2 linked regions of the Rattus norvegicus genome follow. The protein of the gene in region 2 interacts with the protein of the main gene of each other region in a pairwise test. Links are inferred from orthologs where the notes say so. Each region holds a gene or a part of one and is shown on either strand. Other genes may lie near its edges. The genes, in order: Ralbp1 and Gse1.

Region 1 (3,908 bases), on a different chromosome or scaffold from region 2:
AACTCTGACCATCTGAATGTGGCTCTTATCCTCCTCCAAGTTCTCTCTACTCCTGTATTCTAAATAATCTGCATTTCCCCCATGCTCTGTCTCACATATATTAGCATAAAGTCTATCAGAGACTTTCTTTTTCAAAGAAAATAATAGCTGGACACATATCTAATCCCAGCACTTAGGAGCCAAAAGCAGGAAGATCTCTGTGTTGAAGCAGCCTGGTCCACATAGGGAGGTTCCAGGCTAGCCAGGACTTCACAGTGAGACCCTGCCACCCCCATCTACCCCCAACCCCAACACACAAAAAGAAAATAACAGAACATACTTTGGGATAGTGTTCTGTAGTGTTGTGGACCTAATCTTCTCTTTGCCAAGCTATGACTATGCAAATTAACTGTACAAAATAAAGTTAATATTCATTTTTTTAGATTTGTATTATCTTTAATTACAGGGGGAGGTGAGCCACTGCCTGTGAAGACCAGGTGTTGGGTTTCCTGGGAGCTGGACTTACAGACAGTTGGGAACAGTTTCTGGGGAGCAAACCCTGTAACTCTCCAAGAGTCATACTGCGAACGTCTTAACCAGTGTGCCCTGTCTCCAGCCCCAGTACTCAATTTTTAAAATACCACTTCTGTCTCTCTAAATTATGAGGAAAACGGTCCCTGTAAACTTATGAGAAACCACCGTTTAAAAAGACAGCAAATTCAGTCATCTTACCTTGTTTCTAGATACTCTGTGATTTGTTTTTTGAGACAGGATTTCTCTGTTTAGCCCTGGCTGTCCAGGAACCCTCTCTGTAGACAAGGCAGACCTGGAACTCACAGACATTTTCCTGCCTCTGCCTCCAGAGTGCTGGGAATAAAGGTATGTGCCACCACCAGCCGGCTTCTAGATACTTTGTTTTAAAAATTATTTAACAGCAGCTGCTATTAAACTAACCTATCTCTCTCCAATCTATGGGACACACTGAAAAAGTAGAAGCTCCAAACCCCTGTAAATGCCAACACCACTAAAAGGAAGTTATTCATTTCGAGGAAGATACCCAGGACCTTGAAATCATCGATATAATTCCTAGTACAGAAAGTGATGGGATCTTTCCTTTCCAAGTGCTAGCACCTGAACACTAAATCCAAAGTAGGCCTATTAACTTATCACTAAGGTCTTGGTCAATAACTGCCAGGTATGAGTAATGCTTCCCAAGCTACTCAGTGGTAGCCCACTGGCATTCATTCCATCAACACCACTGAGGCTGGGCAGTGGAACAGCTCGATGTACACAGTGTATAGCACACTTCTGTCACAGGCATAGACCTCCAAACGAAAACGGCTGTGATCTCCAATAACATTAGGGTAACTGCGCTGTTCTCTCTGGAAGAATCCTTGTAATGATCCCCAAACTTGAACCAGCACTACTTCAGAAGACTGGGAAGTGGAATATTTTGTCAAACTCTGTTTCACTGCGACATATTTAAAAGACGGGAAAAAGAAAGCTGGCCTGGACTAAGAACACTCCGGCATGAAAACGCGTTGAGAACGAAGCTCTCAACTCCAGATCTGGCCGAACACTTCCACTGAACCCTGAAACAAGGACCGCTACAATCAGGGTCGCCCCCCTGCCCAACGCAGGCTACGAGCCACAGCAGGAGCTGTTCCCCGACTCCACCCCGCTTGCGGAGACAGGTGGGCGAGCCAGGTGAGACCCATAAACCGGAAGACTGCGTCAGGCCAGTCCCCCGCCGCAGCTCCGGCCAGGTGTGGCCCGCAGGGATGCCCCGCGGCCTGGAAGATCCAAGGAAGCAGCTGGGCTCCCAGCTAGCCCCTGGCTCCCACAGCAGCACAGGACACACCGGGAGGTCCCAGGGAGGCCTGTCCGGCAGGCGGGGTGACCCACCCCAAAGGAGCAAGCTCGGGGAGTGAAGCCTTCGCGGACAACGTAAGGCGGGGCAGCCACGCCCCCCACCCCCAACTCCAATTCCGAGCCCCGGATCCCAAGCCCAGCACGCTGCATGACAGGCGCGGGCGCAAGGCCGGGCGCCGGACGGCTCCCACAGACACCACTGCAGCGCTGCGACCCCCGCGAGCCAACGCTCCCCGCCACTGACCAGTGCCTGCCGCCGAGCGACCGTCCGCTCCGCTGCAGCCGCCGCCTCCTCGCACTCACGCTGCCGCTACAACCGCCGCCTCCTGCGCTGCCCCCCTGGCCGGCCGCGGGAGCCCCATTCCCACCCCGCCCAGCCTCCGCCTGTTTACAATGATTGGGACAGAACAGGACGAGCCGCCCAGCGCGCACGCGCACGCCCTCCTCCCGCCGCAGCCGGCTTCCCGGGTCCTCCGATCCTTGGCCGTGACGGCTAGGGGCGTCTAGGGCAAACGCCCCTTGTCCTCGCACGGGGCACGCCGGGAGTTGTAGTTCTTGTAAACCCGCCACCCCCGCCACTGCAGGCCCGTGTCTCGGACACAAACCACAACACCCAGAAAGCATCGCGCCTCACGAGATGGAACTCGTTGGGGAAACAGGGAACCCGCGAGAGGATGCGCCAAGCGCTAAGGCTCTGCAGGCGCCTGCGCAGTGTCCTGGGGACCGAGTGGAACACACACCTACCGGAGCGAATCCCAGTGAAAACAGTGTGGGATCCCTGCGGAGCTCTGCAGGAAAGAAAGCGCAATCCTCCCCAAGCTCTGGCCGGGTGTCCGCAGCTATCGAAAATGACACTTTCCCCCAAGCGTCTGCGTACTTTAGTGGTTCCGACCAGTTAAACCAGCCTGGGCTGCCGACCCACCCCGCCTCTGGGCGGAGCACCTTGCTGGCCTTCTTTGGGCGGAGATCTTCAGTTGGAGAATTCTTGCCTTGGGGTTTGGAGAAAGGAAGCTTTTGGGGCCTATGCGGGGAAGTCCGCAGGATCCCTTTAGTGTGTTGGCTTGCGGGGAACTGCTGACTCCCACCCACTTAGCTCAGCAGTTAGCAATCAACCCCCGAGTTAAAGCTGCACAGCATCATGTTCAGCTCGCAAACAGAAACAGCTGAATATCCTCCCGAAGTCCTCCATGAAGGACTGAAGGAGTGTTCTCCGGTGTATACCGTGATAAACAGCAGTCCTTTGAAGTATTCTGGGTTTATAGCATTGGCAGTCAGAAGAGAGATGAGATTTCTAGTGTATGCTTCTTTCCGAGAGCCATATGGATTTCGATGATCCGTCCTGTACTATGCCCCCCAGCCATCTTTCCTCAAATATGACAAGTCCGTTCCTTGCGCAAGAGTCACCCTCAGTGGAACACTGAGGTCCTAGAGGGATCTTTCCAGAACCCCTGTAGCAATAAAACAGCCTCCAGGAGAAGCTGGCCTGTGAGTATGCCAGTTAAAATGCTCCTTCCCACTGGCAGTTCTGATATGGCCAAGGGATAGGCACTGGTCTGAGCAGGGCTTTATGAACCCTCTCCTGACATTGACATATAAAATAATGAGGTGGGGAAAGAGGCGTTCTTTACTGAGTAATTCACCGGTGGTCATATTTACTGCAACATCACGTGGCCTGTCCACTGGAAGTGAATGAAGCTGAAAGAGAGTTAGGGGACACAGCAAGGTAGAGGGAAAAGCAAGAGCGGTCAGTTAGAGTGAAGACTGACTCCCTTCTGAGATCCTTAAGTGCTGTGTTTATGTGAGCCTCAGCGGGCGAGCCAATCCAGGAATAATCTTTACACACTTTTTATTATTCAATTGTGCTAATGGAGGTATTTACAGGGCTGTTTCTCAGCATTTTCCCCTCCCACTTAAGGAGCACCACAGAACCATTTACTCTGGTAACTGTTTTAGAAATAAGCATCATGTCCAAGCAGAACCCACGAACCCACAGAGACAGATGGAGGCTTCCACTAAACCGCAGCTTCCTTTCTTTTCTGGTACAGTGAAGTATTTGA
Region 2 (3,808 bases):
GCTTTGCTTCTGACTGACAGTGCTGGGCTGTCACTGTGCTGTGTTCACACTGCCCAGCCTTGGGGCTGGCTCTGCCTGCCTGGGACGACAGAGTTCTCTGGGTGTAGGCAGCAGGTCTGTTGCCCATTTGAAAATGGAGAGTTCCTTCCCTAAGCTCCAGCCTCCAGGCCTCATTGCCAAGGTCAGGTCCTGATAGGTAATCACATGAAGAAGAGGTGTGCTCGGCTGGGACTACACAGGGGCTTTGTACAATTATACAAGTTACATACGGGCCTCAGCAGTTAGAGGCCAAAGCCGTGTTTCCACAGGTAGCAGGATTGTCTCAGGGAAGAGGGGGCTGTGTCAGTGACTGAGATCATCCCTGATGACTCTGTCCTGCTGGAGCCGACACCCCAAGAACTAATCTCTCCCCACCCCCACCTACCTGTCTCTTCTCTCTTGCTGCTGGGGTTGGTTGGGAAGGGGAACATGATGCTCCTTTCTGGGTCGATGGGGCTATTCTAGGTATAGTAGTAGTCATTCAATATGGTAGATATATTGAGGTACGTTGACAGAGGTTTTGGTTTTTTTTTTTTTTTTTTTTTTTTTGGGTTCTTTTTTTCGGAGCTGGGGACCGAACCCAGGGCCTTGCGCTTCCTAGGTAAGCGCTCTACCACTGAGCTAAATCCCCAGCCCCGTTTGACAGAGCTTTTAAAAGAGTGAATACCATCTCAGGTTTTTTTTAAAGATGTATTTATTTTATATGTATGAGTACACTGTAGCTGTCTTCACACACACCAGAAGAGGGCATCGGATCCCATTACAAATGGTTGTGAGCCACCAAGTGGTTGCTGGGATTTGAACTCAGGACCTCTGGAAGAGCAGTCAATGCTCTTAACCACTGAGCCATCTCCCCAGCCCATCTCAGATTTTTTAATGTAAAAATAGCTGCCCACCTCCATGCCTCTGAGAGGCAGTATGACAAAAGGCCAGCAAAGCTGGCTACAGCATGGCTCTGGGTTTCTCCCTGCCTGACTGCTCTTGGGCCTCACTCCCTGTGAGCATTCTGGAATGGCTGAAGTGTGGGTGCGGCTCGTGGCGGTGACACATGCAGTCCCTGAACTTCTGTGTTCTCTCTCCACAGGGTCTTCACTGAGCAGCGAGTCATCTCCTGTGTCCTCTCCAGCCACCAACCACAGCTCTCCGGCTAGCACACCCAAGCGAGTGCCCATGGGCCCCATCATCGTTCCCCCCGGGGGTCACAGTGTTCCCAGCACTCCTCCGGTGGTCACTATTGCCCCCACCAAAACAGTCAATGGAGTCTGGAGGAGCGAGAGCCGCCAGGTGAGTCGGGCAGCCCAGAGATGGGGGCGTAGTGGGAGTGATGGGACAGGGGGTGTCCCTGCGTGGAGTTTTCTGTCCACAGCTCTGGGATGGGGGCGAGTTTGGCCTCTCACCCTGGTCCTCAGTGTCTTCTGCGAGGTGCCCTTGATACACCACCCCCTGAACTGGAAGATGCTAGAATTACGGCAATTCTTACATCAGGCTTCTGACTGAGTACCACACAGACGCATCTTGGTGTATGAGGCCTGACTAAGCCTGGGGAGGGGAAGGGAGGGGAGGGAAAGGATAGCCTATGCACTCCTTCCAAGAACTGCCCCTTTACTTTAAGATGGTATCTTCTTGTGTCCTCTGGTGGCCTTGGCAATAATGACCTCTTTAGGGGTCTAGGGAGACAGATTTACCCAGAGGCACTGGGTTGACACAGACTACACACCATAAAGGGCCTGGGGGTATCTGAGCTTTGGGTCTCCAGGAAGACAATAGCTGTCACTGCTTTGCAGGAGTAGGGGATGGTACTCTTCTAGTCCCTGATCCCAGCACGGGATCTTGTGTGTCTGCAGTCTCTCAGCTGGCTCTGTGTAACCAAACTGGAATGGAGGAGCCGGTGCCCAGACCTTCCCCAGTACTGTGCTGGGCCTCCCACCGGCCTGGCGCCCAGAGGGGGCCTTGCTAATTAAGAACCGCTGTCAGCTGTGGCTTCCCCTGGATTCTCCAGCCTGGTTCCCACAGGGTTTGTACTGCTAGGAAGTACTAATTAAACCACAAAGACGGCGGAAGGGAGGGGAACACCTCCCCCCTGCTGGGCTGGGGCTGGATAGTAAGGGTGTGAGCTTCATCTGCCCCGCCAGTCTGATTGGTGACCCTGGTCCCCAGTAAAGTGCTCAGAACATCCGTCAGGTTCCTGACTGAAGGGAACCGAGACAGCCTGCTGCTGCACCCGGAGAAGGAAACAGAGTTCTGTCATCGAATTCAGTCAGCGGCCTAGTTCCCTCCCTGGATTAAGGAAGTTGTCTGTGGTGACCGGCTGGGCTTGGGAGGCTTAGCTTTGACCTCAGACAGTGAGGTCACTGATATAACCTGTCCTCTAGCTTCGCACACAGGGTTAAGTGGTGGTGCAGCAGTGACCCCTCCCCTTCGGGACTCACATATGCTTCGATGATGTTAGCTGACCAGAGGGTGTCACCACAGGCTTAGATAACCATAAGGAGACAGAAGTCCAGGAAGGGCTGGCAGGCCTGTCTCCAGGGACAATCCGTGGTACTATGCTGGCTACCATGTGCCTTTTGGTCACACCATGGGTTCAGCCCGTGTCAGCCAGAGGACCTGGTGTTCCCTAGCGAGTACTGCTGTCTGCTGGTGCTGAACCTCTCCTGCAGTGTTGAGGGAAGGACCTGAATGTAGTACCAGGGGGCTTCTGGCCCTCAGACTCTCCTCGGCTCACAGTGTCCCCCAGACTTTGCCATGTTCCCACTGGTGCCACTCCTCCTTGCCGTGAGGATTCCTCCCTAGTCACAGGCAGGCAGGGCTGTTCGATCTGGTTTCTCCGGGCTGAGTGCTGCTGTGGCTGTTTATACAGAAAGTCTGTGAGACTGGATCTCCCCATGCCCCAGCCCTACTGCTGCCTCTCACTTCATGCCTGAAGGGAGCCTCTCCTGGGGTCTCTAAGTCTATCTGGGTACAAGGGTGTCCCCATGTAGGTCCAGCAGATTGCCAACCACTGGCAGTGTCCAGAGAGCTGCGGGCACAGGCTGGAGTCTTGGGAGAAGCTCTGTCCTAAGGTGCAGGTCCCCAGGGCGTTTTTGCTTGCAGGAAGTGGGGGTTCCTGCCCTGCGGATCCTCTCAGATACCTTATCTTGGGATTCAGCAGTCTGCTGTTTAAGGTTTCCCCGGCATTGCTGAGTTCCTGTGGGAGCTGAGCCAGGGCCTGGTAGACCTTGGTCCAGACCTGCTCACGGGAGGTTTTCTCCCTAAGTATCTCTAAAATATATTAGGGGAAGGATGCTTCTAGAGTATGAGCTAAACACAGGCCTCTCTGAGGACCTGGCTGGCTCCCCAAGACCTAACTCTGTCTTCTTCCCACAGGACTCCGGCTCACGAGGCGGCAGCAGCGGTCGGGAGCGTCTGCTGGTGGAGCCGCCTCTAGCCCAGGAGAAGGCAGCGGGCCCCGCCATCCCCTCCCATCTACTCAGCACCCCTTACCCCTTTGGCCTCTCCCCCAGCTCAGTTGTACAGGACTCCCGCTTCCAACCACTCAAGTGAGTGCCGGGCTGGGGTCAGGGAGGGCTCCAGATAGGTCTGAGGGTTTGCACCAGCTGAGGTGGATGCGTGCTGTTAGCCTCTGTGGCCTGAGCTGCCCTGAGGTCCTTGGCTCCACCCGAGCTTATGGTCCACCCCATGCTGATTGATTTATCACTTCTCGTCCTAACCCCATTTAAGCCCATCTCTGGGCCTGGGGACAAATAGCCCCTCTAGTGTCAGTATCCAC

The links.
Region 1: the proteins of Gse1 (region 2) and Ralbp1 interact in binary tests that used the Homo sapiens proteins (3 or more experiments, as listed by UniProt). The link is inferred for Rattus norvegicus from reciprocal best matches to the Homo sapiens genes GSE1 and RALBP1.

What each region holds. Positions count from the first base shown.
Region 1 is NC_086027.1:112,937,323-112,941,230, forward strand, and holds the start of Ralbp1 (ralA-binding protein 1), read right to left. Parts: upstream 2,338-3,908; 5' UTR 2,096-2,337; intron 1-2,095. UniProt on the Homo sapiens protein: Multifunctional protein that functions as a downstream effector of RALA and RALB. As a GTPase-activating protein/GAP can inactivate CDC42 and RAC1 by stimulating their GTPase activity.
Region 2 is NC_086037.1:65,518,459-65,522,266, forward strand, and holds part of Gse1 (Gse1 coiled-coil protein), read left to right. Parts: intron 1-1,123; coding exon 1,124-1,323; intron 1,324-3,405; coding exon 3,406-3,578; intron 3,579-3,808.